Rattus norvegicus: one gene and its partner. The protein of the gene in region 2 interacts with the protein of the main gene of each other region in a biochemical or structural test. Links are inferred from orthologs where the notes say so. Each region holds a gene or a part of one and is shown on either strand. Other genes may lie near its edges.

Region 1 (4,770 bases), on a different chromosome or scaffold from region 2:
AGCCTGAGGTCACAGTCAGGAGGGGCAAGTCCCACCTGCAGGAGATGACTACCCAGGCACTGGCTCTGGAGTCCAGAGAGGACGCTATTGGATCCCAGGTAGCCCCTGATGCTCACAGCGCTAAGGCATCAAAACTCATGCTTATAATGTCAGCTAGGAATCCTCTCTGGTACAGTGAGTGTCCCTCAGTAACAGAGGGCAGTTTTAGGATTCCCAGCTTTGCTCGGTGTGTGTGTGTGTGTGTGTGTGTGTGTGTGTGTGTGTGTGTGTGTGTGCGCGCGCGTGCGCGCGCGCACGTAACTCTTGCTTGCTTGCTTGCATAGAGATCAAGCAGTCCTCTGGGTACATTAAGTTACTCTAGGTGACTGCCCTTGGTAGGATATAAATGAGCTAGGACTAGTTACACAGTCTCACTCAGGTTAACAAGGGAACCGGCGGGCTGGGGATTTAGCTCAGTGGTAGAGCGCTTACCTAGGAAGCGCAAGGCCCTGGGTTCGGTCCCCAGCTCCGAAAAAAAGAACCAAAACAAACAAACAAACAAACAAACAAACCAAACAAACAAACAAAAAAAAAAAAAAAAACCAAGGGAACCGGCACACATGGGAATGCTTGCCGCCCCAGGACACTGAACCCTGATCCCAAGGCTGGCTATGTTTCGGTCCTCCCTCCCTCCTAAGAGTGTCAGGTCTCCAGTTCTAAGGCTCAGAAATGTTCGCCTGCACTTCTCATGCACAGCTTCCCCCAAAGCTGGGAGCCCCCTGCGTGGGGGCCCCCGCCTGAGTATGACTTTCTGCCACCCAGTCCTAGGATGGTCCTAGGATGGTCCTGCCTACAGTCTCTTGTGCCAGGGGAGCTTGGGCACAGAGAGAGTGCTCAGCAGAGAGCTAGCGGGTGAGGCGTCACATGGATGAGGTTGCCTTCCAGTCAAAGATGGCTGGCTCACTATGTCAAGCCTGGATTGCCCAGGAGGCGCCCAGTGCTGGTTCACCACACCTGAGGAACCAGATGAGGCCCAGGCTGTGGGAGAGGCTTCGGTGTCTGGTTGCTTCCCTGGCCTCCCAGGACACTTGGACTACACGGGCCCAAGTGGTGTGTTGGTGAGAGGTTGGGACCGCCACCTCCTTCCATCTAGGTCACAGCCCTAAGACCTGGGGGCATCTTTCCCACACCTCTGTCCTGGTGGGCACCCAGTCAAGCAGCAGCTGCCTTCTCTTCACTCTGTCTCATCTGGCTTCTCAACGGCCTCAGGAGACCTGACCTGCCACCCTAAAGCTGTGCCTACTCTGCCCACAGCTATGGAGACCACGCCAGGTCCCACCCAGCCCCGCCTCACACAGTGGGGCTCCTCTGGGGAGCCCGCAGAATCATACCTGACACTTCCTGATCCCTCTGGGAAGGCACTGGGAACCATTTCTGGGGAGCAGTGCTGGGCGCACAGGCTCAGGCACACCCTCACTTCTCCCTCAGAGGGGCAAACCCATAGCTTCCCTCCAAACCTTCGCGTTCCTGGGCCTCCTGCACCTCCGAGCACACGGAGCCTTATCCGCCTCCAGTTCCTGCTCCTCTGACTAGAGGAAGCGGCAGGCTTCTGGGCCCTTCCTCATCCCCATTCCCATGAGCGCCCAGATGGGGGGTGGTGACGTGAGCGGTCTGTCAGAGTGTTCTGCGCACATGTCTGCGCAGCAGCCGGAATCCTAGGCCAAGGACCCGCTTACCGAGGACAGTCCTCCGTCGTCTCTCCTCCGGGCCTGGCTGTGTCGGCTGATGAAGGAGCGGGCTGACAGCTTGTAGTGGCTCAGCAGGCACGTGATCATCACCACCATCACCATCATCACGACCACGATGACCACGATCTGCACGAACTCCAGCTCCGCTGTGGGGCAGAGGGGCGCGTGCGTGAGACTTTCGGGTCAGCAGCCAAAGGCTCCCATCTACATAAGGCTGAGGACTCGGGCACAGGGGAGAACACAGCTCAGAGACTCTGTCCGGAACACGGCACGGTCCCAACCATGGACGTTCATGAAGACTCGGTCTGACCCTCAGAGATGCTAGGCCTGGCCTGGCTCTCAGAAAGGGACTTGTTTTTGAATCCCTGTGCCTAGGGTCCTTTTACTTCTGGGGCCTGGAGAGGGACAGTGGGAAGAAGAGGGGCTCCTGTGGGGCTGGAGTGGGATGTGGACATACTGCAGAGGCAACACATGAGTGCGCATATGTAATACTACAGCCCAGTTCAGGGCTCTCCAATGCCCTGATACTCGCACATCCCAGCAAGCAATATGTCAACCTTCCCACCCGCGAAACAACAGCCCACTGCTCCCACATACCCCAACCTCTCCAACACCAACCATACAGAATCCTCCTCCACACACCAGCCATACCCAACCCTCCCCGCTACACCAGCCATTCCCAACCCTCCCCTCCCACACACACCAGCCATTCCCAACCCTCCCCCCTATACCAGCCATTCCCAACCCTCCCCCCTATACCAGCCATTCCCAACCCTCCCACACACCAGCCATACCCAACCCTCCCACACACACCAGTCATACCCAACTCTCCCACACACACCAGCCATACCCATCCCCTGCCACCAATATCCTACCCTGCCTGTATATTCCCCAAAAGACTATCTCAATACTCCTACATAGTCCAACTCCCCACCAGCACCCCAACCCTTCCACACACCCCAAAAACAGCCCAATATTTCAGCTCTCAACCCTTCTTCATCTACCAAATAGCCAAGTTCCTATGTCATCACTCTCACACACTAATGCCGAAAACCTCCTGAACACCCTGAAGCAACAGTCCAACACCCCAAAATAATAGTCCTGTATCCCAATATTCTTCTTTACATCAACTTTCCAACGCTCTTACGGGCTCTAAAACAACAGCGTAAGGTCTATAATCCTGTATGCCCCAACATGGCCACGATGGGGTCAACACTCTTAAATCTCAGATGCTCCACAGTCTTGACACTCCTCAAAACAGCTCACCACCCCTACACACCTCAGCACCCCCACATGCAGCCCCCCAAAATACCTCAATACTCTGACACCCAAAAAGATAGCAGAAAATGGGCCAAACTTGCTACACACACACACCTCAGACACCCCAGGAAACACAAGGTCTCTCTCTCTCTCTCTCTCCTCTCTCTCTCTCTCTCTCTCTCTCTCTCTCTCTCTCTCACACACACACACACACACACACACACACACACACATACACACACTCACACACATACACACACATACACCATTAGCCACACAGATAACATTTAAGAACACACACCACACAAGCACACAAATGGGCTCCTTCTAGTGAAGGCCTTAGACACGTTCCTGGTGCTGCTCTGGTTGGGATTCTCGTTTATTTCAGAGGCCCCATCCCTGGGCCCCTTCCACACCCCTCCCCGTTTTCCGACTTATTTTATTTCCCCTCTAGAAGGAGGAAAAGCCCTCCGGTGCTGGGAAGGGAAAAGGCTATTTTGATACTGCTTAAGCGGGTGCTTTTGCTGACTCCGATGGGCCGAGGCTTAGCAGCTGGCTGCAGCTGGTGCCAGTAGAGCCCCCCAGCAACAGGCAGGGTGCCAGGAGTCTTGCAGGGCACTGGATTCAGCAGAGAGACAGCAGGCAACCTGAAGGCCCTGCCTGAGGCGGAGGCCCAGGGATGAGCCTCCCCAGTCATGGAGGGAAGACCTTGGGGGAGCACTCCCTGCTGTACAAGAGGGAAGGGACCCCGAGGCCACCAAGTTCAGTTGCAAAGTGGCTGACTCAGCTCTGTGTTTACCAGAGAGAGGAACTGAGGAGAGGTTGGAAGCCAACACAGGCCCAAACCTCAAACCCAAGCAGGATTAGCTCTCTCCTGCCACCACTATGGTTTCCTTGTTGCTCTGGGCAGGGTAACACATCCAAGATGGGCACTTTACTGTGTGTGGATGGGTAGCAGCTCATAGAGTTTTCCCTGCCATCTCTGTCTCAGGCTACTCCTCAGCCCCAGCCAGTCTCTGGAACCCCACAGGTCTATCCCACCACTGGACCACTGCATGTGCTATGACTGACTACACTTAGGCAGGGCCCATTATGCTACTGGACACCTTAGCACCCAGGACGCTTCTCCCACAACAGAATGACCCCTGTGAGTCCGGTAAAGCTTAGATTGACCCTTCTCCTGACGTAAGTGTTTTCTCAAGCCCCTCAAGAGAAACAGAACCACAAAGGAAGTATCACAAAGTCCAAGTGCCCACGACTAGGGCTCCAACCCAAGCCCGGGTTTATACTTGGTGCTTCTGAGTCAGGCTCACCTCCTTCACCCTGGAGGAGCCAAGTGGGGGTGTTGAACTGCGAGGACTCTGTTGAGACTCACACACGACTCAAAGAGGGGCCCCTTCTTGTGGAGACTCAGGCACCCTTCTGCACAGAGCCCATGGGGCCATGGTGAAGTCCAAGACTGGGTCACTGCAGCTATGCTCCTGTCTCCCCAGGAGAGGCCGGTCCAAGGCTGGATGGTTTGACCTGAATGTGCTGGGCACTCCGGTCTGGCTGTCGGGACCCAATAAAGCCGTGCATTCAAGGGACACAGGGACTGCTTTGTGCAACGCCCCTACTTCTCCAAAGGGCCAGCAACTCCTCCTCCCCAACTCTGTGAGCTCCTCACCCTGGCCTGAGACACCCCTCTGGCTTTCTCTGGGGCTTCGGCCCACATCAGGCCTGAAAGCAATGGGGAGATGCAGGCGGCCTTTTGTTCCTGTCCTCTGGTGGCCCGAGGGACTGG
Region 2 (4,770 bases):
TGGGTCTTTGTTTTTTAATTTCATTTCATGTGAATAGGTTTTCACCTGCATGCTTGTCTATGCCCCACACCACATGCATGCAGTACCCTCTCCGGCCAGAAGATGGCTGCCAATTGTAATGTGGGTGCTGGGAATTCAACATAGGTCATCTATAAAAGCATCAGTGCTCTTCCTGAGTCTCTCTCTGTCTTTACAGGGGCCGTTTGTCTATCTGTTTATGTGTTCTTAGGAACTATTTCCACCTTTTAACGGAAGTGGCTATTTCAGACCATTATCAGAGTCACTGGTATTAGGAGAGAAAAGTAGCCACAGGGGAGACTTCATTACCATTTGTCTACATAGACTGTTGCTCTATGAGATACCAAGAGGATCACGTGAGTGTGGTTTGTCTTACAGGGACAATTACACTCTGCAGATAAATCCAAACTCGGGCTTGTGTAATGAAGATCACCTCTCATACTTCAAGTTCATTGGCCGTGTGGCTGGGATGGCGGTTTATCATGGCAAGCTGTTGGATGGTGAGCATTGAGGAGCAGACTTTTTTTTATATGTTTTTTGTTGTTGTTTCTTGGTTAATAGTCACCCTAAAAATATTTTGTTTCTTACAAGGGTTTTTCATCCGCCCCTTTTACAAGATGATGCTTCAGAAACTGATAACACTGCACGACATGGAGTCCGTGGTAGGTCTCTCTCATGCGCCGGAATCTGGAGGATTTAATAGCCAGTGGTTATTTGCAGAATTGACTTAGTGGTGGTCGCACTTGCTGAGTGTGTGCTGTACCACCAAGCTGCATACACAGCCCAATTAATTTATAGTAAGAACAGAAATGAATAAATTTTCATGTGTCAAAATATAGATAGGGGCTAAGGAGATAGCCCAGTGGGTAAGAGCATTTGCTGGGCACCAAACAAAATTTTTAAAAAGTCCCAGGACCTGGGTTTACATCGTGCACCTCATAGAAAGTGGGTTGTGTCTGTGAGTGTCTGAAGCCGCAGCACTGTTGGCAGCAGAGGCTGGACGGTGTCTGGGCTCAGTTCCAGGATCAGCGAGCAGCCCTGTCTCAGCGAGGCAGAGCAGAGAGTGACTGAGCGGGGCCCATATCCACCACTGACTATTCTTGTGCCTCCCTCCATCAGTATCTGTCTGCCATGCACTGCAGCTATTAGTCACTTCTGCTGAATTCCTTTACATTTACATATCTTTGTGTATGCATATAGGCACCCACATTTAGAGATCAGTTTTCTGCTTCCTTCCCTCATGTGGATTCCAGGGATTGATTCTGCTCGTTTTTTTTTTTTTTTTTTTTTTTTTTTTGTTGTTGTTGTTGTTGTTTTTTTTTTTTTTTTTTTTTTTTTTTGGTTTTTTTTTTTTGGTTCTTTTTTTCGGAGCTGGGGACCGAACCCAGGGCCTTGCGCTTCCTAGGCAAGCGCTCTACCACTGAGCTAAATCCCCAACCCCCTGCTCGTTTTTTTTAACATTTATTTATTATGTATACATCATACATTTTCTGCCTTCATGTATGCACCTGCACGCCAGATTATAGATGGTTGTTGGCCACCATGTGGTTGCTGGGAATTGAACTCAGGACCTCTGGAAGAGCAGATAGTGCTCTTAACCTCTGAGCCATCTCTCCAGCCCCTGATTCTGCTCATTAAGTAAGGTGGTACCTGCCTTTACCCACTGAGCCCTCTCTGTCGACAGCTATCTGCTAATGTTCTAAATTTACACTTAGTTATTTTTATTACATTTGTCTGTTTGGGGGAGGGAAGCATTGCTTATACATGGGACCCCTGTGGAGGTCAAAGAACAGTTGGCCGTAGTTGCTTCTCTTGTTCTGTCAGGTGGGTCCCAATACCTGAACTCAGGTCATCATGCTCGGTAACCTCACAAAACAGTGAGGAGTCTTTCCAGACGCCACAAAACAGATAATCTCTTTCATCACAGTTTGAGTTAGACTTATTTTTAATGAATGGCAAATGTTTAAAGCCTCCACTCCAAAGGCAGGGTATTGTGGGGTCTCCTAAAAGGAAACAGAAGCCTAAAGACGAAGTCTTGTGTATGGCCCTGTGTAGTGTGAATACACATGGCTTCCATATCACAAACAATATGATTTTTATTTTTTGTGTATGAGTGTTTTGCCTGCATGTGTGTATGTGTACCTCAGTGGCCAGAAAGCTGTGCTGTGGCTGCTAGCAATCAAACCTTCCGCAATTGCAGCCAGAGCTCTTAACCACTAAGTTGTCTCTCTCTAGGCCCCATGGATTCTTTGTTGTGCTTTTTCTTGTTGTTTGAGACAGTGTCTTATGGAGCACAGGCTGGCCTCCATAAACGCATCATGTAGCCAGCCATGACTTCTGGGTGCTGTGATTATAGGTATAGGTACAGCTGGTTAATGCCTTTCCAGGAATCAAACCCAGGGTTTTACACATGCTAGTAAGTCCTACACCAGTAAGTGAGCCACATTCCACATTCCCCGGCTCCAGCAGGGGTCTTTGGAAACTGTAAGACAAGAGCACATAGTTATTGTGTGGGTTGGTTAGAATAGTATATTTAATTTTAACGTTTAAGTACCGTCCAGTAATGAACTCAGACATTCCACATACAATCTCTCAATCCTAGTGCTGGAAATTCAGGTGTGTGCTCTGTGCCCAACTTTTCATGTTACGGTGGGGATCCTCATGCTTGACTGAGCATCTCCCCAGCCCATCAGTGTAGATGTCATGCATGTTCATGTACCTTTCTATATACAGATTTTTTTAAGTGCTGTTTTAGCTCAGTGGTAGGGTACATGCCTAGAAGATAGAATTCTAGGCTAAGTTCAATTCCTAGCACTGCTTACTCACTTAATTAGAGTGCACTTTTCCTTCTAGGATAGTGAATATTACAGTTCTCTGCGATGGATTCTTGAAAATGACCCGACGGAGCTGGACCTGAGATTTATCATAGATGAAGAGCTTTTTGGACAGGTCTGTGGACTTTCAGATTCTATAAACGTCATTTCCAAAGCCAGTGTTGTCACCTAAGTGTAGTGCACTCCAGTGCACCTGAGACACTTCTCTGTTCAGCTTGTGCATTTATTTTCTCGTGGCAAAAGGTGTCTCTCAGCCAGCATTTGTACTCGCCACTGATGTGTGACTAATATTTAAGCTTTCTTAGCTTTTAACTTTTGAATGGATTTAATCCAAAGCACTAGGCTTCTGGTGTAATTCATGTAGTTTTCTCCCATTTTCCTCATGAAAACACTCATGTTTAATTTAGACACATCAACACGAGCTGAAAACTGGTGGATCGGAGGTTGTGGTCACCAACAAGAACAAAAAGGAGTATATCTAGTGAGTACTTTACTTCTAAGTATTTTCCTAGAAATGATTGAGCTGTTTTTTCTACTTTTCCTCCTCTTCTTCCTGCTTTCTCCTCTTCTTCTTCCTTCTCCCTCTTCTCTCTTCCTTCTCCTTCAGAAGATTTTTCCTTTACTTGCTCTTTCTTCTCCCCCCAAGCCACAATCAGTTTTCTTAAGAAAAGCACACCCTAGTTCTCCCTGTTTCTTTTCCGATTTTTTTGCCTTGGGCACAGCTAGTCTATCTGTCTCTCAGTGGAATAGACATATCTGAAAACATTTTTCATGGTTTGTATGGGGGAAAAAACAGAAAGAAATGTTTTTATTTATTTTTTTCTCCTTTTAGCCTTGTAATCCAGTGGCGATTTGTGAACAGAATCCAGAAGCAAATGGCTGCTTTTAAAGAGGTGGGTACCCCACATTCATTGCTTGCCATACCAGAGCTTCAAAGACCCTTTTTAGCTGTGTTTTTAGGTTGATTTTATGTTTTTCAAATACTGTGCATATGCATGCCCATGGAGGCCTGTGGAGGACTCCCTGGAGTGTCAGTTGGATCCTGATTCTTCCAGCCCCATGACCCCGAAATAAGACTCAGACTCAGCATACATTTACATACATTTACATGGACCCTGGCCTTATAGTTAGGATCTTCTCTGAGGAGAATTAGAACTTAAGAGAACTTTATTCTGCCACGTGGCTGGTTACCTCTGCTCAGGTGCTGTGTGGCAGTCTCACTATATCTTCCTGGGCAAATCTTCCTGCTCTGGCTGTCTTGCACAGTTAGAATCTTACTGGGAAGTGGGGACAGAGGGCACAGTGAGACTAAGCTGGGGACTAGAGGAGCAGAAAAGAGCTATGAGCAAGTAGCTGTGCCTGTGGTGAGAATGAGTGTCTTCAGTCCTGAGTGGGGCTGACGAGGAAAACGCAGGAAATTAACAAAGGTGCAGTTGACTCACGATTGGGGACTTAGGCAGGATTACTGCAGGTCCCAGGCCAGGACAGGATTCAGTAGGTGAAGGAGAGGAGGAGGAGGGAGCAACAGAAGGGGTGAGGCCCGCTGAGGGGGCTCACCTCCTGCAGTGGGCCTGGCCAGGATGGGGGATGGGCTTCTGTCTGCCTCAGTCTCCTCAGTACGTGTAGAAGGAATGAAGAGGGAGGAGGGAGGATTTAACATAGCCACTTTGAGAAATAAAGACAGGACGGCCACATTAAGATCACAGTGAAGGGTTGTTCATGAAAGTATGCTGGCAAGATCTGTGTAGGAGTGAGTGTTCCATCCACAAGATGCTTGAGCGTGCCAAGCCTGCTAACCAGCTTTGGGCACATTCCTTTCCTTCTAGGGATTTTTTGAACTGATACCACAGGATCTGATCAAGATATTCGATGAAAATGAACTAGAGGTAACAACTGTTTGTGCTGTGCTTGGGAATGT

Evidence for each region. The genes of interacting proteins can lie anywhere in the genome.
Region 1: the proteins of Nedd4 (region 2) and Pmepa1 form a complex in vitro, tested with the Homo sapiens proteins (2 studies listed by BioGRID, with this or other methods). The link is inferred for Rattus norvegicus from reciprocal best matches to the Homo sapiens genes NEDD4 and PMEPA1.

The regions. Positions count from the first base shown.
Region 1 is NC_086021.1:182,436,272-182,441,041, forward strand, and holds part of Pmepa1 (protein TMEPAI), read right to left. Parts: intron 1,874-4,770; coding exon 1,716-1,873; intron 1-1,715. UniProt on the Homo sapiens protein: Functions as a negative regulator of TGF-beta signaling and thereby probably plays a role in cell proliferation, differentiation, apoptosis, motility, extracellular matrix production and immunosuppression.
Region 2 is NC_086026.1:82,337,138-82,341,907, forward strand, and holds part of Nedd4 (E3 ubiquitin-protein ligase NEDD4), read left to right. Parts: intron 1-396; coding exon 397-518; intron 519-609; coding exon 610-680; intron 681-2,871; coding exon 2,872-2,967; intron 2,968-3,259; coding exon 3,260-3,333; intron 3,334-3,684; coding exon 3,685-3,745; intron 3,746-4,678; coding exon 4,679-4,738; intron 4,739-4,770. UniProt on the Homo sapiens protein: E3 ubiquitin-protein ligase which accepts ubiquitin from an E2 ubiquitin-conjugating enzyme in the form of a thioester and then directly transfers the ubiquitin to targeted substrates. Specifically ubiquitinates 'Lys-63' in target proteins.